Lonchura striata: one gene and its partner. The protein of the gene in region 1 interacts with the protein of each later gene in a pairwise test. Links are inferred from orthologs where the notes say so. Each region holds a gene or a part of one and is shown on either strand. Other genes may lie near its edges. The genes, in order: TSC22D1 and CCDC90B.

Evidence for each region.
Region 2: the proteins of TSC22D1 (region 1) and CCDC90B interact in a two-hybrid assay, tested with the Homo sapiens proteins (2 studies listed by BioGRID and IntAct). The link is inferred for Lonchura striata from reciprocal best matches to the Homo sapiens genes TSC22D1 and CCDC90B.

The regions. Positions count from the first base shown.
Region 1 is NC_134604.1:60,755,739-60,766,835, forward strand, and holds the start of TSC22D1 (TSC22 domain family protein 1), read right to left. Parts: upstream 4,560-11,097; 5' UTR 4,081-4,559; intron 3,473-4,080; 5' UTR 3,440-3,472; coding exon 612-3,439; intron 1-611. UniProt on the Homo sapiens protein: Transcriptional repressor. Acts on the C-type natriuretic peptide (CNP) promoter. Acts to promote CASP3-mediated apoptosis.
Region 2 is NC_134604.1:36,118,822-36,129,340, forward strand, and holds the start of CCDC90B (coiled-coil domain-containing protein 90B, mitochondrial), read left to right. Parts: upstream 1-6,371; 5' UTR 6,372-6,405; coding exon 6,406-6,499; intron 6,500-6,531; exon of another isoform or gene 6,532-6,659; intron 6,660-8,206; coding exon 8,207-8,326; intron 8,327-9,782; exon of another isoform or gene 9,783-10,519.

The DNA of each region.
Region 1 (11,097 bases):
CTCGCCACACATGAACACTTTGAAGCGACACCATCAAGACAAAAAATACCCCTAGTTCAATTCAAAGAGCCACAACAATGTTGCTGAACATCCCTTATCCCACCATACTCATTTGCCTAAAGCATCTTTTGGCCATCAAAGAGGTTTTGAATATACCAAAGAATCACAACTGGTTCAACCTTAGTAAAGTCAATACTTTAAAAAGAGAAGCTAAGCCAGGATGAAGTCTAGGCTTGTGAAAAAAAATACCTAAGAATAAATATTAATTATTTTCATATAATAAATAACCTAAACTGCAATCACCACTAGTATACTCTACAGTATTCTCGTCTTCCTCAACACTGTGGGAATATACACACTGAACAGACTGCTAAGCACAATTTACCCACACAGTAGTTTCAAAGCATAATCAATACAACCCACCCCCTCAAGTGGAAAACAAGTTCTTTAATACAATATCTGCATGCACTGAGACCTGAGAAATAGTATTTTAATTAGACAGAAACATCACACTGCTTCATTTCAGAGAATGGCTGTAACAAGAACTGCAAGTTAGTGCAAATCAAACTATCAGAGAGTCCATCTTTTAATAAAGTTACAGGCAGTCTTACCTCTCATCCTCACCATCTACAAGAGGTGTTGTCAACGGCAGCACCTTCAGCGGGAAGAGGGACGCCGAGGATGGCATGTTGCTGCTACCGCCATCTGAAGCGGCCGATGCTCCACCACCACTCTCAACGTTGGCAGCTTGAGGTAAACCCGCCAAGGAAGGCTCTGTAGGGCGTCTGCCGTCTTCGATTTGGCTTACAATGGACTGAGCTAGTGATTGTGCAGGGAACTGGGTAGAGCTTAATGGCATCTGCTGCGGCACACTCTGTGCCACTGGCATACCTATACTTGTTGATATCAAGGGAGGCTGACTAACACTTTGAGCCAAATTACCATTCTGCACAGCCGAAGCCTGTGCTATACTCTGCGGCTGTCCCAAACCTACAGAAGCAGAAGGTATGCCAGGAGGCACAGCTGAACCAGCTTGACTTGGTGCAGGAACAGCACTACCAGAGGGTATAGGGCTCACTGCGGGCAGCTGCTGGCCAGTCATCCCTTGGACTACAGATTCCACTCCTTGTGCCTGTGGCTGTACAGGCAACAAGGTGTTTTGCTGAGCAATGACCATTTGTTGAGGAAGGCCTGTAGTGCTAGCCTGCAATCCTTGCTGCATTATTCCTGTCTGCACAGGCTGCACTACTTGGGAAGATGGAGGAGCAGCCGTTGATGGCATAACTGGAGGTGGAATTTGGTTTGTAGCAGATGGTGGTTGCACCACAGCAGCTACACTTCCTTGCTGCCCAACATTTAGCATTTGACCACTGGCAGCTACACCTGGTATTGCTGCTGGAGCATGTGCAACAGGCTGAGCTGGGGCAGCAGCTGGATGTGCTTGAACTGAAGGCTGCATGCCTTGTGCCTGGGCAACAGGAACCGGTTGCCCAGCTCCTACTCCTGCAGAACTTGGCTGCATGGCAGGGGCTGGAGTCTGAAGGATCTGCTGATGTTGAATGTAGTCTGGCATAGCCCCCGTGACAGAGTTTTGGTTCACCGGCTTAACGTGACCCGCGGCCATCTGCGCAGGAACTGGCTGCTGTTGCTGCTGCTGCTGCTGTCCGTACTGCAACTGCTGCTGCACCACTGGCAAAGTCTGCACAGGCTGCGCCGGCTGCGAATATGGCAGCTGCTGTTGAGCCATACTCTGAAGGGCAGGTTGCTGGTGGCCCAGAGATGGGGATACACCTAGTATATTAACTGGGGCTGGCTGAACCCCAGGAACAGTGGTTAGACTGGCCTGTGCAGGAGTCTGGACCCCTGGCTTCTGCTGTGGATAGTTTACTTCTTGAGAATGCAGCTGGACTTGTGCAAGCTGTGATTGAGAAACACTCTGTGGTATACTAGATGCTGGAATTGCTGGAGGAGCAGCACTGCTAAAATCCATCTGCTGCGGACCCACACCTTGAAATGCTTGCTGCTGTACCACAGTAGGTGCTCCCATTTCTCCACTTCCCACACTTTCTGTATAGTGACTCAGTGTGCTTACATTGCTGCTAACAGAACTCCCACTGGTGCTCTCCCTTTCAGAAGTCACTTCAAGCGGGTTTTGTTTTATCGTCTCTACTGCTTTGTTTACTGCTACTCCCTCCGAAACTGCAACAGTGTTTTCTTTATCATAGAATTCAGTGCATGTCCATCTACCTTTTTTGAAAGGTTCAGAACTAGAATCTAATTTTACAACCCTAAACCTCGACGTGCCAGATGCAGGCTGCTGCTGGCTTGATCCCACTGCCACTCCTGCAGTTGGATTAGTAGCATTGTTAATGACACTAGAGGAAGCACTCGTACCATTGCCAACACCACTCAAGATATTCACATTAGCATTGCTGCTAGTTCCAGACAAAGCATTTACATTACCAGTACTCATGATGTTGCTTAAATTTATAGTACCAAGCACATTGCTTGCCACATTAGAACTACCACCACCAATATTACTTAAGGTACTAGTTCCAGGAGCAGGACTTATACCTAAATTGCCAGGACTACTTGTAGTGCGGATATTAGACACAGCAGATGCTGGGGAACCAGTGGATGATGCAGCAGAAACTGGTGCAGTTGATATAACATTGTCAGAGCTTCCAGTTGTTGATAGTTTTCTAAACGATGGACTGGGTGGCGGTCCTCCAGAAATTGGGGCACTACCCACCCCAGGATGTGATGGATGATGGTGTCCGTGATGGTGGTGGTGAAGATGGTGGTGATGATGAACATGATGGGGATGAACACTTCCATTGATCACAACACTCTGCTGTGGGTGATGAGGCTGAGGAGCATGCTGCTGAGGAAGATGAGGCTGGTTTGGAGAAACAGCCCCAGGAGTCTCTGCCTCTTGGAAGTTATTTAGAGTCTCTTCGGAAGAGCTCCTCTCAGGTTCTCCCATGTCAGTGGCTCTGGATAAAGACACATCCAAGATTTCAGAAGATGAGAGGTCTTCAGTGTGAGACTCATCCAGGTCATCGTAACTTTCTGTATCCTCGGCTATGCTGTTATTAGAGCTCATACTAGCTGATATTTGAGCAGGGGTCACACTGGTAATTTGAAAGCCACTTTTCTTTTTCATTTGAGCTCCAGTCTGTGCAAGGGGCTGTGGCTGGAGCTGAGACTGCGAGAGGAGGTTCAGGCTTTGTGGATGAGGGGGTGTCGGCTGTGGACCCACTGTTGAAGCTGCTGCAGGAGATGGAGGCGGCGGCTGGACCAGCAAAGGCGGCTGATAATCCTCGGCAGAGAGGGCAGCGCTCCCAACGCCGGTACCTGGTGCAGTGGGAGCAGTAACGCAGCCGCTGCCGCTGCTACTGCTGCTGCCCCTTCTAGGAAACATCGCCGGGTGCGCCATCTTCCTAGCACTAATGTCTGCGGCTGAGTCAGGCTGGTGCATTGTATCGAGTGTATTTTAAGAGTGCAATCCCCCGGTATGGAAAGAGACAGACAGACACACATACACACACACACGGTTAGCTGCGTGCTCAGGGCAGGGCAGACACCACCACGCACAGCCCTCCCGGCTCCCGCAGCGCACGGGCTGAGGCGGCTCGGCACCGCCGCTCACCACCACCCCTCTCCCCTCCCCCTCCCCTCCGAGACAGGGAGGGGGCGAGCACCGGTCCTCCGCCGCCTCTGAATGTGACACTTTCAATCCTCCGCCATTCACTTTCTTCCTCCCTACCACCCTCCCTCCCGCCACCCTACCACCGCCTCCCTGCTCGGCCGCCCCCCCGTCCCCAGCCCTCCGACTGCGCCTCACCCGGGAGGGCAGCCAGCCGGCCGGCCCGGGGGCGAGCCCCTTCCTCCTCCCCGCGGAGGCTCCGCCGGGCGCCGCGGCTCGCCGGCAGCACCGCCCTCCCTCGCTCCCTCCCTCCCTGCCTCGGCGGGGCGAGGGGTGCCGGCGGGCCCGCAGGGCAGCCCGGCGAGGCGGCCGGCGCCCCTCGCCATCACCGCTCTTAGGAGCGGGAGGAGGAGGAAGGCGCGGATACGTACAGGACTGGCGCACAGCAGGGCGGCAGCGGCAGGCTGAGCCGGGCAGGGACATCCCCGTCAGTGGCAGCCATGGAGCTGAATCATTTTGGATATCAGAGAGACGGAATAAGGACGGAAGAAAAGCAGCAGCAGCAACCCGACAAAAGAGTCCATGAAAAGGAGAGAGGGAGGGAGGAAGGGGGAGCCAGCCAGGCAGCCTCTCTCTCCTCCCTGTGTCTGGCTGTCTCTGGAGGAGGCTCCGCTGTGCACGCTCTTCCTTCCCCCTCCGCCGCCTCCTCCCCCTTTATAACAGGCGGCACCCGCTCGTCCTCCGCAGAACCGCGCCTGGAATCCGTCCTCCTCCTCCCGCGTGTGCGTCCGCCCCGTCCTTTCTTCCCTCAGGGTTTACTCCCGGCTTCCCCGCCGCCGCGGGTCTCTCCCTCCCCGTGCCGGCCCCGTCTCCTCACAGAGCGCCGGAGGAGGCGCCGCGGGGGGGAGGAGGGGAGAGCTCGCCAAAGGGGAGGGCGGGCGAGAGACAACGTAAGATGGCGGCGGCCGCCGCGCACGCGCGCCCCGCCGGCAGACATAAAGCCCGTCTGGCCGGGGCCGGCGGAAATAGGGCTCGGCTCGCGTGGCGGAAATGGCCGAGCCCGCGGCGGGCGGGGGTGTCCCGGCCGAGGAGGGGGCGAGGCCGCGGCCATGGCGGGCGGCGGCCCGTCCCCCTCCCCGGCCGCGTCGTGTACCCGCCAGGTGCCCCCTCTCTGCCCGCAGCATGACTGTGCCTCACATGACCTGCCGCCGTTTCCCTCCCCCCTCCTCAGCTCCGCTGCAGATTTATTCAAGTTATTCATCGCCTTCTCTCCTTCCTCCCCTCCCTCGGTCCAGAATATTCCTGCCCGCTCCTTCCCCCGCGCGTGGGGAGGAGAGCGGAGTGTGCGCGCATCCCCCTCGCTCGGGGCCGCTTTCCCTTTGTGCCCGGGGCGGGCGGCTCGCCCCGCTGCCCGCTCCATCCCAGCCGCGGCGGGGGCCGCAGGCGCCCTCCGTACTGCCGGGCAGGGATGCCCGGAGGTCAGGTGGGATCGTTCCTCCGCATCCACCTGCGCTGTGTCCATGGGCGTGTGTCTGTGTGTGGAGGAGCTTCTCATGAAAGCTCCAGACGAACCATACAGAAGCACTGATTAAAAAAAAAAAAAAAAAAAAAGTACAAAACTTATTAAACGGGATCGAGGTGAAATTAACAGACCTTCCTTCACTGTTCAAGTGCCAGCATCGTCAAAGCCAGGCGGCAAAGCTCACCACGCCCACCACGGTGAGGCTGCTCCCATCCCATCCCAAACGGAGCTGGCTTCTCTCCTTCGGTGAGCACCGCCTGGTCTCCAGAGACGCTCGATGCACACATACCTGCCCAGAGATTTTTCCTTCGCGTCCTTGTGCCTGTTGCCTTGCACAGAGCTGCCTGGCAGGCATCCCGTGGCCCCACCGTGATCAGTGGATCCAGCCCGATAGATCCCCACCATTTGCACCGCTCCACCTCTCCTGCAAGCAGAACCCTTTCCAGCCGGACTTCCAGAGATCGATAGGTGGGATGTCCTGCATTCCTACAGAGACGGGACAAGTTCACACCCTCTGCCCTGTTTCTCCGGCAGCCTGGTGCTACGTAAGGTGTGCACCATGCTCGTATTCCCAACTCCTGGCAGCATGACGTTGTCTCCAAACAGAGAAATCCATGAGCAGGCAGGAGGTGTCTCAAATCACTGCTTTGAAATTGCTGTGGCTTGCCTGGAATTGGTGAAGTGTTTGAAGGGCTCAGGCTAATGTTGTAACCTGACTGTGGAGCCCACTGATCAGGACGATCAAGAGAGCATGGAGAACAAACAGGGCTTGGCTCTTGCTGCTGTGAATATTTAAACACATAAGGAAGAGTAGTAGAGCTTTAATGGGGAAAAAAGTTGTGAGAGTCCAAGGTATTATATCATATAGCTGAGTCATTAGAGAGTTCTTATGGGAGATATAAATGTTAGTTTCTTCAGGCAGAGAGGAGATTTGAGTCTCCCATGTTTAGTATGTGGCATTTAATCACCAAGGAACTAAAAAGCTGCTTTTCTTGCTCCATTTTGTGAAAAGGGCAAGGATTCAAGGTCACACACAGCGAGAGCTCTTGCTGCCTGTTCTTGAATTTCACACTTCCATCTTGCCTCTCCCTGCTAACCTTGCTTATCTAGCTTTCATTTGGTGTGGGGATAGGGGTGGCTTTTGAGAAAACCCTGCCTTTTGCAGTTTAATTCATTTTATCTGGAATGCAGGCATTCAGCTCAGGTCTCCAGGTACCTGAAAGGTAGACTTGCAACCCTTTCTCCTTCCATGGCTGTACTGCCTTTATACAGAAACTAAAGAACAATTGACACATAGTTAAATAGGATTCATCTTTTCCTGAGGGCAAGCCAATATTATTTTTAAAAAACTGATAATCAGATGGCAGCCTATACTGAAAGACTACTACCTGAGAGTGAGCTGGCTGCATGTAACCTTTGCAGATTTCAGGACAGCTTCACAAACGTGCCCACAATCTGTCTACATCTTGATCCTTGGTGCCACACTGAAATCTTAGATTGTCTTTAATGAGATACTCACACTTGTAAACATTTTTGAGATGAGGGCTCGACACTGCAAGTCAACAGCCATTAAAAATCCCTGTTCTGTCTGCTTATAACTTTCCCAGAACAATTTCCTTTGAGGAATAGAGGTTTCTGTGATGAGTTGTAACTCGAAGATTATTTTTGAATGTTTGAACAAAATCCAACTACTTTTAAAGCACAGAGGCTATGAATACAGATGAGTTGGTTTCTAAACTTAAAAATTTGTGCAAAAGCAACCTAAAAAGGATTGAGCTGTAAAGTTTGTATGCACCTAGTCAATATCAGCAAGGCTGAAAAAGAATTGAAACGGTAGTACTGGTAGTAATTAAATATTTGCTTTGCCTATGCCAATTAACTTATATTCATTTTGAGTAGTTGGGCTGCTTCATAGTACAGTGTGTTATATGGGGTTTTTATTAATTGGGTCCATATTGTTCTCTTCTTAGAAACTGAAGAAAAAATGAAATTTAGATAACAGTGTTAACTTATCTGCATAATGTGGTCACTGATCTGTTAGCAATCCAAATACTGGTCTAGACTAAACAAAGCACATCAGAAGTGGCAAGATTGAAATTAATTTTTTAATGCTGCTTGAAATATGAACATTTTCATGTTACACCCATTTTCTTTCCTTACCTATTTTCTTCAGGTACAAACTTACTTCTCTTTCTTTCATTTTTTGGTAAGCATTAGTCTAAGCATAAAAATGGGATTCTCAGATAAACAATTTTAATTTCATATCTATTAAAATATAAGAAATTATAATTAAACCACTGGAATTTATAATTGTTATGGATTGTATTCTTTAGTTGTTCAAGGTGGGAAAAGAAATTCCATCCTATACCTAATTTACAGAACACCAGATATTTAAAAATTCAGCCACCACACAACTGACCATGTGTAGAAAGTGAAATTATACCCAGCAGTTATTCCAAACAGCTCTACCTGCTATTTTTTAATTAGCTGTATTGATCAGTCAGCTGGAACCAGAGTTACTTGTGTCATCACTGGATGGATTGAGCAGCTTGTTGACCATGATCACTGCTCATGACTACAAGGCAGACAATCCTGCAGTCCCATCATTACCTCAGCTGCAGACTGAAGAGTGCTGGAGGGTTGCCAGGATAGAGGAATCCCTTTGGATTGCATCTCTTACATACATACTTCCCAAATGAACAAGCACAGATGAGCTTGATGCAGTCCTTGCTGCCAGGCAGGGAGAGTGAGTGTCTGGAATAATGCTTATTTCAACTTTAAAATCTTATTGTTCGGGCTAGTGCAAGAGAACAAGATCTTCACAGTGTAAATATTTAGAGATCTGTCTCCTGTATATGTAATATTTCTTCAGACAGGAAACAACACCTTGCTGCCACCACAGATTCTCCAAGGATATCAAAATAAGCAGTATTTTAATATTTTCTTTCTTTGGCTCCTTCACTACTCAACATAGTTGTGTGCATTCATCCTAGCATATGCAGTAGTTTATGTCTTTGTACTAAGTAATTATAAAGCCAACAAGCAGGAATACTATGGGGTTTTTACTCAAGACAGTCAAAATCATGAAAAATCAGTCTGATGTGTGCTTTAAGTCCTGTGTGACTGTTTAATAAATAATTTTTTTAAAAATTAATAAAAATAATTTTTTCCCATGAAGTTGCCATTGTTGGTTTAGACAGAAAGCTTCTCTCTGTTCATTAATATCGCTGACTGTAGTTTCTAAGTTGATTTGCAAAGATGTATGCATTTTTTTCTTCCTTCTAAGAGAAGTAGTCATAAGAAAATTCTTACCTTTCAGCCCTGAAAAAGTGGTAATTCTGCTTCTGCATTTTCTTAGAAAGTTCAAGTCAAGTCTTGATCTTCCTTTCTTGTTTTGTTTTTAGTTGGCTGGTTAGTTGGTTGATTGAGTTTACTGATTCCAAAACGCCTACTGAGACATTTTTCATCCCTTATTTTAATTCTTATTAAATAATGTTGAACTTTTGGGAAAGGGAAGCTTTCTCACAAGTTTTTATTAAATAAATGCTTGCAGAAATCAACAATTCAAGACTGCAATCTAGCAGTCTTGAAAAAAAAATCAGTTCTCTTTAGACTAGTAAGGTGTATTCCAATGCCAATATACACAAAATCATATCTTTCTAGATCATCTGGAAAAGTTGTTTTAAAATATTCATTATACCTGAGCTTGAGAAATGTGGCCAAGTAGGCAGCCTTTTTTTAATGGGGATTGTATTCAAATTCAGAATTAATGAAAGATGTTTAGAAGCTTTATCATTGCTTTAAACTTTGTAGGTGTGTAGACTACATACAGGACTATATAGACTGTATTGTGGGAGCAAGGGTTAAAAGTAAATCCTCCACCAGCCCATGACTAATGAATTAACAGCCAAAAGATCACCACCATTTTATCACTATATTCATCTTGCTCTCCTTTATTCCTCCATTTTCTCTTGAATTTGTAGTCAACTGATGAATTTGCATCTTATACAAGCGCCAGGTTATAGAAAGTATTTCCCAGATACCTCAACATGCAACTGTAATGAATGCAGTACTACTATAGAGTGAGATAATTTCTTTAATTGTTTGTAGAGTACAGGTCTTAGATTGCTAACTGTTTGATCTTTGATTAGTCAGCCAAATGTTATATATAATTAAGCTGAAGATTAAATGAAATAGATGATCAAATCAATGGAAAATGGTCATACAGTTAAATAGAGCCTTCCCCCTCTTTTTTTTTTTTTTTGTAAATCAATGACCAAAGTAGGAGTCAACCATATTTTTTAGATTAGTTTTAGTATTTATGAATTAATCATAAACCTTTGCATAGGACTGTTTAAAAATGCTGAAAATCCGAGCTCTTGGTTTGTAGTTCTCAGTTGCAAAGATTGTGTGGAATTGTTTTCTTCTGACTGATCCTAATTCTGATAGGGGAAAGCACTTAGGAAAATGCTTTGTTTGGGAATGTACTTTGTGTTCCCTCACTACACTGGGAATTTTGTGATGTCTAAAAGTTCTGTGATTTATGTGTGGTTTTCTTGAATGGTTAGGAGAGAATGTGTCTGTTGTGATAAGGCACAAATCTTTAAAATCTCATCCTAGAATTAAATTTTGTTTTTCCCCATGAAGAGATGGGTTTCTTCAGTGCTGAATTCTTTGGAAAAGTAGAATGTATAGTTAGTGTTTAGTACAGCCACACAATTTTTCTCATATTATCACACAGTAACTGGAGACAGATAGGATCTCCTGATTGTGGAGAATACAGAGAAATTCTTGAACTCAATTGTCTGAAGCTTGTGTATCTAGTTTTCATCTCCCTTTTGGCTGTGTCAACATCATTTCTAGCCATTTAAAACATATTCTGTGGAAGCAAGTGTTTGTTTGCAGAAATCCAGAATTTTCTATGGGACAGTACTTGAGCAAGCTTCAGCTTTTGTTTTTTATATGCATTAGTTGTAGTGTAACTTGAACTGTTTACTGAAAGTAACCACAGACTGGTCATGAGCACAGCAGAAGTAAACACAATTTTTATCAATAGTCAATTGGTATGTTTCCTGATAACTCCAATAGTTATATATACTGCACTATTTTTCTGCTAAAGGACTTACAAACTCATTCACAACAACAGTAATTTTAATTCTTCTACATCTGTGAGGTCTTTGGTTTGTTTCCCTACATTATTATTTTTCAGGCGTCTTGCCTCTGATTATCTCTGCATTTTAAATACTGTATGTGTTACTTTTGCTTCTGCACACATACACTGACAAACCTTGAAAGTCATATTAAAAATGCCCTTGTGACAAAATTCAGTGGGGAACAGGTTTAGGATTTCCAACTCAAGCACAAGAAAAAAATTTTTCTTTATCACTTTCAGTAAAACAAAAGATGTGCCAAGTCCCGACAGGCACAAACACAAAGTCAGAGGCTTAACTTCAGTCATGTGAATAGTCCCTTTGATTAACGTTTGGTCACCAAACCCCTAAAAACTTAACATTAAATGTGTAAATATTTGTAGGCTTAGAAGACAAAAAGATGAGGTATGTGCTAAGGTGTGGCCTTATGGAGACTTGGGATTTTGTTTACCTTTAGTTGGTAACCCTGTTGAGTCCTTATCAAGAAGAAAGTTACTCCTCATGCTTATATTTTTTTGAAAGATGCTGACATTATGTCTAATGGAGCTTTGTGTCTTAGCTTAAAAGCTAGCCCTACAATATTTCATGGCTTTAGGATCAAGCTACATTACCTCGTTTCTAGTTTTACCTGTTATTAAGGCATTTTAACTGTTGTTCATCAGAAATCAGAAAATTCCCTATTTTAAACAGGCTACTAACAAAAATGCATGCTGCTATTGATTGGAAAGTGCTTTATTCCTGCTCAGTCTTAATACTGTTATTAGTAGTTTCAGCAT
Region 2 (10,519 bases), about 25 Mb from region 1:
CAATGCATCAATGACTGTGTGGTCTCAAAACACTAAAACCCCACTGTGCAATCTAAGTCAAAGCATTTTCGGCTCCATCAGAATTTCTGAGCAACACCAGGAGATGTGAAAAACTCTCCTTGGGAGCCGCCAGCCATTTCCATAATAACTTGGAAATAAGATTACAGTGACTTTTACAAACTTGTTTATGAAGTTGTGTCAGCTTCTCCAGTACAGCTGTGTCCTTCAGGATCTTTGCTAGACAAGTGTACTGAGCCTGGCTGAGGGGGAATTACCTTTTTTTCTTAACAGCCTGTGTGAAGCAATGCTTTGAAGCTGTGGCTGAAATGGTGTTGGTAACAACAGCATTTTGGCTGTTGCTGCACAGAGCTTATAAAGCATCTGTGGTTTTCTCTCTGTCCTCCTCTGCCCACCTCACCCAGCAAGTTGGCTGGGGATTGTCAAAGGGTTGAAAGGGGACCCAGTCAGGACAGTTGATTCTAGCTGACAAAATAGATATTCCATGCCATATGACATCATGCTTAGCAGTAAAAGCACAGAGAAAGGAGGAAAAACAGAGAATGATAAGAAGAAATTCTTCACTGTGAGGGTGGTGAGGCACTGGAACAGGTTGCCTCATTCCTGGCAGTGTTCAAGGCCAGGCTTAATGGGGCTCTGAGCAACCTGCTCTAGTGGAAGGTGTCCCTGCCTATGGCAGGGGGTTGGAATTGGATAGTCTTTAAGGTCCCTCCCAACCCAAGCCAGTCTGTGATTCTGTGATTCTGTGAAGCTATGTTTGTGGCTATGGCATTTGTCTTCTCAACTAAAGCTGAGGTCCTCCTTGCCAAGAAGTAGCAAAACATTTGCCTGCCAGTGGCAGTTTTTTCCCCCTTCTTTGCCTGTGCATGCAGCTTTTGCTCTCCCCATTAAACTATCGCTAGTTCAAACCACAAATCTGATCTTCTGTTTTCTCCCCATCCCATGAGGGAGGGGAGTCAGTGAGCAGCTGGGTAGGTGCCTGTTAGGCACAACTGTCTGCTCCAAGCGCAGCATGGGGCCTGAGATAACAGGTTCCATTTGAGCATTCTATCAGCAGTTAGAGTTGTTAGAGGCAGGTACTGTGCTGGTCATGCAGCTTGTGTTCTTTGCTGTATATTACAGTCCAAGGCCATTTCTGCTGTTTGCTGTGGTGCTTACTGCTTTACTTCACTGTGCCTGGACACCTTTTGAAAAAGGCAGTGGCCGTGTGCAAGGGCACTGATGCTCCTCTTGTGCTGCGTGAGCTCCCTTGCAGGAAGCACTAGGGATTACACCTCCCTCTGCTCCCCTGGGATAGATGTGTCCAGTTTTTTTGTGTGGGCTCCCAAGCTCCCTGTACATGATCATGCATGCTGTTTGAATATGTTCTCAAGCATTGTTGGATTGCTGGTGGGCTTGCAGAACCTGACTGGCACAAGGGTAAACAAAGCATAAAGCATTGTTGGTGAGGTAACAAAGAAATGTGCACCAAGATGGCCAGTTGGTGCTGCCAAGGTTTGTGGGAGGATTTGGGAAGGTGCCTAGAGCCAGTGCCTAGAGCAGTTATCACCTTCAATAGCCTGAGATTTTACACTTGAACAGGCACATAAACCTGTTGAACTGGCTCACACTTGAAAGAAGGTGCCTTACCTAAATCAATGAGACCAAACAAATTTTGGCAATATTTTTTGGCTTGGCCTCTGCCTACTGAGCCTCAGCCCAGCACCATTAGAAGAGGCAGGATGAGGGAGTGACAAAGAGACAAAGGAGGCAGAAATCACTCAGGCCATAAAGCCTGAGTTTTAAAGGAGCTGCAAGATCTGTGGGGAAATTACAGCCACAAGGTGAGCAGATTGCTACCTGGTTGCTCCAACATCAGGATACTGGGGTCTGCTACCAGGAGTTAGCCAGCAAGCCAGGCAGCTGGGATCCCTAAGGAGACACACCAGGATTGGCAAAGGGAAGCCTTTGGATGTAATTCCTGTTGACAATGAAAGTCAGTTACTCCCTCAAGGATGACTTGGTACAATGCCTGGGCAAGTGAACCACCACTGTAAAAGGCATCCAATGCTTGAGGGAAGTAGAGGTGGTGGGACTGCACCCAGTCCATGTGCAGAAGGTGCACATAACTCACCGCTGTTGAATGCCAGCACCGTGGGGCTGATGCACTGGACAGACCCCGAACCACTAACTACAGAGTGACTGTTCCAATGGCTCCCAGGATTCAAAGAGAACTTCCCCTCCTCCCCCTGACCAAAGGTCTAGGTCTCGGCTAGAGATGCCCCTCAGAGTTGTCTCTGTCCTGTCAGAGGGAAAGGGGGATCCAGGGCATGCCATGCCAGCCTGTGGTTCCTCCTGCACAATCGGGAGGATGAAGAAGGGGAACAATGTGCCCACCTCAAATCTAGAAGCCCACATGCACGGACTACAAGGAAAACCACTGCTACAAAGCACCCATCCAAGAAGACCGGTTTGACAGCCTGGCATGTGATCCACAGAAGCGGAAGGCTTTGCTGGACACTGACGCACAGTGTACCCTGACATCATCAGATTACAAGGGAGCAGAATCCATCTGGATTTCTGGAGTGACCTAGACTGGGGATGTCAGGGTCAGTTATCCACAGCTTAGTGAGCCCATGAAACATCACGACATCTAGGAAAAGAAGCAATATGTGGGTGGGCTTATGCTTGAGGGGTGCACCTGACAACCAAAGTACCACACAGGTGGTAGATGGAAGTTCTGTGAAGGGCACGGAGAGGATAATTCAGAAAGATGGGCAAGAGGAGCATCAGGCAACAAGTACCAAAGACTTTTTTCCCTAACTAATTTCCACACTGGAATTGAATTGACTTTGTCTGCATGCAGGATCTACATACTGAGATTTCACAACAGTGACATGCTGATGCACAGTTTGGGCTTCTCAGTGCAACAAGATTACAATGAATGAGCAGTAGCCTCTGCTGATACAAGTCGGCACAAGTCAGCATGGTTCCATCGACTGCAGCCACCTCACCGACTTAGACAAGACTTAATCAAATACATCTGTGATCACTCTTCTATTATTCCTTCCCACTGGGGTCTCAGGGTTATTCAAGATACCAACAAGGATGAAAATCAACATCATGTCAGTCACAGCTTCAAAGTCTGTCTGTCCACAGCCCATACTCCATCTAAATTTAATTTAGTAAGATTTATCTGAGCCTGATGTAAGTAAATTAATCATGCAGAGCACTGACCCATCCTACCCCCGGCTACTATGCCCCACCCTGCATGTTTATTTGGAAGGTAATCTAATTTGCTGCAAATGTGCTTATCTAGATGGAAAGCAAGCTGTGATAGATACACCTTAGGAGGAAGAAAGCTTTCCAGGACACATGCCTCAGTGAATTTGTATGAGGAATACAGAATCTATTGTCCTGTTGTTGTTGATCTGCATTATTCACCTGCTCCCCGCTCTTTGTCTCCATGTGTTTGTGAAGCACTGTTAAGCTCCAGTCAGTTCAAAACTGGGTAGAATGCACCAGCCCTTCTCCCTGAGTTTCCCATAAAGAAAGCTTAAGCAACTCTAGAGAGCTGCTGGGTAACAACCTCCCACCTGCAAGGTACTTTTATCAAATGAGAGTGAAATCCTGAGAGATGTTTGCTAACACGACGCTGAAGCACAAGAGCCCACTGAATAGCCAGCAGTGGCATAGCCTGGCTTTGTAACACAGAAGAGAGTCAGAGCACAACACATTGACCTGAGTAAGGAACACTGAGGAGGTCTCATGTTCCTAAATATATACAATACCAACCAGTGCTGAAACAACGAGAGGGCAAAATTGTGATTAATAGCATCTTCTAGATGCAAGCTATCTTCTGTCCCACTCTGGGCTGTTGCATCTTGCTCAGCTTTGCCTCCCAAGCTCCCAAGTGTATCTTGCACTTTGGCTTTGTCTCACCAGTGTGGTAAGAGAAGGATCAGATTCCCAGCAGTACTTTCCTCTTACTCCCTGAGGTGAAGCAGAACAGACCTGGAAGGGAGGTGTGCTGGTGGATGCTGAGGCAGTGATAATAGATAGATGGTCCCAATACCAGACAGAGGATGTATCTTGTTATTTCCCCTCTTTCCAGCCATCTCACTGGTTTCAACACTTTTCACTTGGTGGTCCACATCCACTTGCCTTCCCTATTTTCATCCATTTCAGAGGAGAGCCTTCTACCCTACAGCTCTACTCTACATCCTTGCAGTGTATGGCAGTGTTGTAAATGCAGGCGAACCCAATGCAATGAAATGACAATGTCTGACTCAATTCAGAAGGCTGAATTATTTCTTTATTATAACTATGCTAAAATACATTAATATACTATATAAAGGAAGATACTAAAACTACATGCTGCTTTCTCTAACTCTATATCTAACCCTTAACACAACTCGTGACCCTCTCAAGAGAGTCCAGACACAGATGGATTGGATTGGCCATCAGGCTCAAACAACCTCACTAGAATCAAATCAAGCATTCACTCCAGGTAAAAAATTCTCCAAACACATTACACATGAGAAAAACAAGGAGAAGAAATAGAAATTGTTTTCTCTTTCATTTCTCTCTGTGCGCCTCTATGAAATATCCTGAGAGGGAGAAATGTGCTGCCACATGGCAGCATGAAAGTAATCCCTGCTGCAGGCCCTCAGCCAGACAAACGGACTGATAATATCGAGATGTGTGAGTTGTGTGTGTGCAAAAGCTGTAGAATAGCCAGCTGAGAGCACAGGAATGGCTGTCCTCCACTGAATGCGTACTAATGAGAATAGAACAGAGCAGAAGGGTGAACTGATCAGAACACAGCCGATCCGGCTGTAGGCTGCTGCCCTCCTATGGCAAACTGGGACAGCAGTCCTGGTGCCCGGAGCAGCTCTCTGTACCGAGTTCAGCTGCTGGCTCCGGCTGACAGAAAGCACAGCTTCCAAACACCCAGTTTGTCATCTCGCTGTTTGTCTGAAGTAGAAAATCAACACCCTGGGGCACTCGGCCTTTCTGCACTGCCAGGGAAGCTTTTGTGGATGGAAAGAACTGTGCGCTGCTCAAGGAGCATTTGCCATCCTGAGCCTGTGTGTGACAGCGTTGAACAAAAACATCCCTGCAGAAAAGGTGCAGATCTGCGGCTCTTCCCCCTTAGTGACAGCTCTTTGTTGCTATTGTTGGGGTTTCTTTCTAATGTCTGTGTTTCAGCAACACAGGAGCTGGTGATTCGTGGCCCCATGAGGCACTCATGAAGTTCAACAAGTGCAGGGGGCTGCATCTGGTGGGGCAATCCCATATATGAGCACAGACTGCAAGAGGAACTTACTGAGAGCAGCTCTGAGGAGAATGACTTGGGGGCTCTCATGTATAAAAAGCTGAACACAGCCTGGCAGTGTGTGCTCACAGCCCAGAAAGCCAATTGTGTGCTGAGCTACAGCAAAAGCAGCGTGGGCAGCAGGGCGACAAGGGATTCTGCCCTTCTGCTCTGCTCTTGTGAGATCCCACCCGGAGTGCTGTGTCCAGCTCTTGGGACCTCAACACAAGAAGAAGGATGTGGATCTGTTGGAGCAAGTCCAGGGGAGGCCACAAAGATGATCAAAGGGCTGGAGCACCTCTCCTACAAAGGCTGAGAGAATTGAGCGCGTCCACCCAGGAAGAGGCTTAAAGGGAAACCTCACTGCAACCTCCCAGCACCCTGAGGGGGCTTGTGAAAAGACAGAGACTTTTTAAATGAGCCGATAGTGATGGGACATGCGGCAAGGGTTTTAAACCAAGAGGACAAGTTTAGATTAGATATTAGGAAGAAATTCTTTACCCCGAGGGGGGGCAGTCATTGGCACCAGTTTCCCAGAAAAGATATCTCTGAGGTGTTAGATAGAAACATCATATCCCTGTACTCCCCAGTTACTTTCCTGGTGAACCAAGAAATTCATTCATAATGAAAATTAGACTTGTATGTATTAAAAAAAAAATGTAGCATTATGTTCACGTAAATCACTGAGATTTGGATTAGATATAAGGAAGAACTTTACTGTGAGGGTGGTGAGGCACTGGCATGTGTTGCCCCGAGAAAGCTGTGGATGCCCCTTCCCTGGAAGTGTTCAAGGCGATGGATAGGACTTAGGGCAAGCTGCTCTGGTGGCAGGTGCCTGTGCCCATGGCAGGGGTTAGGAACTAGATGATCCTCAGGCGCGTTTTCCCGGCGTTTCACTGAGCGGAGCCGCCGCACGGCGCGGCCCCGGCTGAGGGCGGCTCGGCGGCCCCGGCGCTGCGCTCCTCCCACCGCACGAGGGCGCCGCGCCGCCGCCTCCGGCCGAGCCCTGCCGCACACTACAGTACCCAGCACGCCCCGCGGGGCTGGCCGGAAGCGGCAGTGGGCGGGCGGAAGCGCCGGGCTGGGGCGCCATGAGGGGCGTCGGGAGCAGCGGCGCCCTCCGCGCCTGGGCCGGGCCGCTCCTGCTCCCGGTGCCGGCCCGGCTGCCCCCGGCTCCTCGCAGAGGTGAGAGGCGCCGTGCTGCGGCCCCTCGGGGTGGGTGGCTGCCGGTGTCGGGTGAGCCCGTGTCTGTGAGCGGCGCTGGGGCTGCACAGGGCGCGGGGCCCGTCCCTGAGGCGCTGCGTGAGGGAGCGCTGAGCGCCTTCCCTCGGGGCTGGAGCAAGGGGTGAGTGCGTAGGGGCTGTCAGGGGTGTTCGGGACGGGAGGAGAGGCCGGGGTGCAGGGGGCGTCATCCGGAGGTTGTCTCAGGTACGCGTGTGCGGAGTGGTTTTCTCAGCTCCTGGGAGAGGAGCATCCGCCCGAGACTGCAGCAGTGGAGCAACCAGAGCTGAAATACCGGCTTTCTTGAGACAGTGTCTGTGCAATGTAGCTCTTCAACCCAAAGAAAAAATCCACCTATGTGTTTAGAAGATAAGAGTCGTGTGTTTAAAACCTGGGACAGCTCCATAAAAACGCTTTAAATTGGTTTTCTTTATTTGTGTGTAGCATCTGGTGCATCTTAACTCTGATGTTGTCATTAATAATAAAGTGCTGTGCCTGGTTTAGTTGTAGTCTGATTTTTATAGTATTTGTAAGATAGCACATAACTTGATTTATCTAGTAGTGGCACAAAATTATAAATTCCATATTGTTTAAATGTTATAAAGCTTTTGAGTAAAGATCTGGATAAGACACAGAATTTGGTTAAGTCAGAGAGCCAGCAGTGCATGTAGTTTCACATGAACAGATGAAGAAGTAACAGGGCTGCTTAGAGAACAGAGAATCAGAGCAGAATCTGTAATATGCAAAGCCACACAAACATAAGGTGAAGAGAAACATATGCTTGAAGTAAAAGTAGGAGAAGCAGTGAAACCTGCTTGTGGGAGAGCACATCATAAATAGAGTGGATCGTTAACTAATACCCGAGGTTAACTAATATCTCTGTAGAGATTAGGTATTCCTCATCTCTGAGGTGTTAGATAAAACATCATATCCCTTTATTGCCCAGTTACTTTCCTGGAACCAAGAAATTAATTCATCTTGAAAATAAGATTTGCATATATATTCTTTTTACTTGTAGCTTTATGTTCACACAAGCCACTGAAAATGAGATATTTGGATTAGGCATAAGGAAGAAATTCTTTACTGTGAGGCTGTTGAGGCACTGGCACAGGCTACCCAGGGAAACTGTGGATGCCCCATCCCTGGAAGCTTCAAGGCCAGGTTGGGTGGGGCTTTGACCAGCCTGATCTGGTGGAAGGTGTCCCTGCCCATGGCAGGGGTTTGGAGCTAGATGATCTTTAAGGTCCCTTCCAAACCAAACCATTCTATGATTCTGTGATAAAATAAAAAGCTGTTGGAATTAAGGCTCAGTGATTCAAATAAAACAGCAATAAATGCTTGATTGCATAAAGTCATTCAGTGTTTTTTACAAGTATGAAAATTATTTCAGTGATGTTTCCCAAATATTATCAAACAGTTGGCTGTGGGGTTTATTTGTGCTGTATCAGGATGCTTGTCTGTTGTACAGTTATATGAACACACTTCAGACAGATCTGTAAGTCCTGTTTAATGTAAATTCCCTGTGGAAAAGGGTTGATGGTTTCTGGTGTGTTGAACCCAGCTTTTTGTTGCAACATCCATACAGCTTTTCTGTGATGAAAGAAATGAAGATTAGTGTATTGCATGATAAGCCAATCAAGGTAAGATTAAGGCATGTTTGGTTGTTTCCAGGTTTTGCTGCCACAATCGTTAGGAAGTCATATGATGTCAGAAGAGTTGATATCACTCCCCTGGAGCAGAGGAAGGTGACTTTTGATACCCATGCTTTAGTGCAGGATCTGGAAGCCCATGGTAAGTGATGTCAGATAAATAATTCAAAGGAAAAATTTTAATATTAAGTAGTGTAACTTTGAGTGCTGTCAGTTTCCCCTGAGTACCAGTGGTGTAAAATGTTTTAGCAGCCTCTTGAGGAGGCTGGTGAAGGAGAGGCATCTGATGGTGTGCCCTACAAATAACTAGGACATTAGATTGACCTCATTTGTAGCTGTAAGCAGGTTTATGTGGTGTCTTCCAGCTGAAGAACACAACACAGGTAACAAATGTGAAGTAACAGTTAAAGACTTCTACAGCAAAAGTGAAGCTCTTCAATAAAATCCTTCTATTAGCCTGCTAAGAGTAGCTGAAGGGTTTTTTCCTAGTGAGAAATATTCTCAGCAGCAAGGTGCTGTGATACATTCTCAATGCCCACTCCTCTGTTGTGAGTGAGGCTGGCTGAATTCAGATAAAGGGTTCATCCAGCCCTGGGTTCTGTCTCCTGGCAGCAGCTGAGTCAGAGCCTGCAGAGGAGTGTTATAACAGGGTAGATGTATGTCACACATCCTCTTGTATTTTCCAGGTTTCTAGTTTCTGTCACCATGGAGTTACTTTAAATTGGTTGAGAGTTTTAGTAACCGTCAGTGGAAATCTTTTCACAAGTTTATGCAGTCCCTGAGCCACTATAAACTGATTACTATCCAGAGCATGCTTTCTCATGGAACTTCAGGCATCTGTGTGGTCTGTTTATGCAGAATCTGGCATCTGTGAGGTGCATTTGATGCTCACTCAGCTCCTTTGTGGGAAGGAGTGAACATTTTATCTCTCATGTCACTCAGAATTATGCAAACTTCTGTCTATTGCCCTGTCATTTTCCAAACAGAAGAATCCTAGCTTGTTGCTTTTTTTCCTGAAGCAGTAGATTTTCCATATTTTTGATTATTCACTATGCCCTTCTGTTAGTATTTTCTGCTTCTGTCACATTCCATTCCATTTCAGGCTTTCAGGGAACAGTGCTGGCATTACTTGACAACTGAATGTCCTATGGATTTGCATAGTAAAGTAATGCTGGGTCCACTGTTCCTTTTCCTAGTCATTCAAAGGGTTTGGTTAGCTTTATTCATCCCTGCTGAGCTTTGAGCTGATATCTTCATCAGACGAGCAACTATTTTTTAAAATCCCAAGTGACAGTAGAAACTTCGTACTGTCAGAGTTTATAATTGTTTCCACTATTTGGGTCTAATAATAATATGTGTTAGTAGTTAAAAGACTCACAGTAATCTGCTGTGTTTATTTTTATCATGCTTGTCAGACTTGACAGCCTGCACTTCCCTACATCGCTCTAGAACTGCTTTTTAAAACTGGCACTTTTATTTTCCACAGTAAGCTGTGAAATCTTACTTGTCCTAGAGACTGATTCAGCTATTTCTTCTTCAACTTCCTTTAGGACTTGTGGGATAAAGTCTGGTGCCAGTTGTTACTCAGTTTAATTTGTTCTATAACTTCTACAAATACTTCTACCACAGTGACAGATCTTTATAGGTAAAACCACAAAAATAAGAGAGCCATTTTAGTTTTTCCCAAGCTTTTGGCAGTTTTCAGGCTTCAGTCTCTTGCTTACATTTTTTTTTTTTTTTCCTCATTTTCTAAACTTTCACAAAACAAAGTAATTTCTTGCTGTGGAGGAAGAGCAACATAAGGAATTGGCAAGAGTTCAACTAACCCTGAAAATTCAGAGAACCTGAAGCAATACTATCACACTTTGTAGTGGGAAGAAGCTGCTGTAAGGCACATGTACGTTTTTTAGACATGTAAGCCAGTGGTGCACCTGGACAGTAACAGTATTTTAGAAGGGTGCAGTGGTATAGTTCTCTAAATAATGTGCCTTGAAAGCAATTTTCAATGTTAATTTAGCCCACTTTATGGAATGGGCTAGTTGAAACACAACATACCAGTCAGATTGCTGGAAATAAATCTCTAGGGCAAAAGCTCTCAGCACCTGACCAGATCTGACTAAAATGAGAGCAATTTTTCTTCCCCATTATTCACCACGCATCATCTGTAACACTTCAAAATTACACCAAGCTACAGGCAAAGTGTATTTTTTATCATCAGAAAGCAAAAATCCCAGTTTGAGTTAATTCTGCAAGCAATGGATGAAGCAGTTTAAAAATCAGTTTTGCCTATGTTCCTATCTCTGCAGGACAGTTCCAATATATGCAGAAATACTTA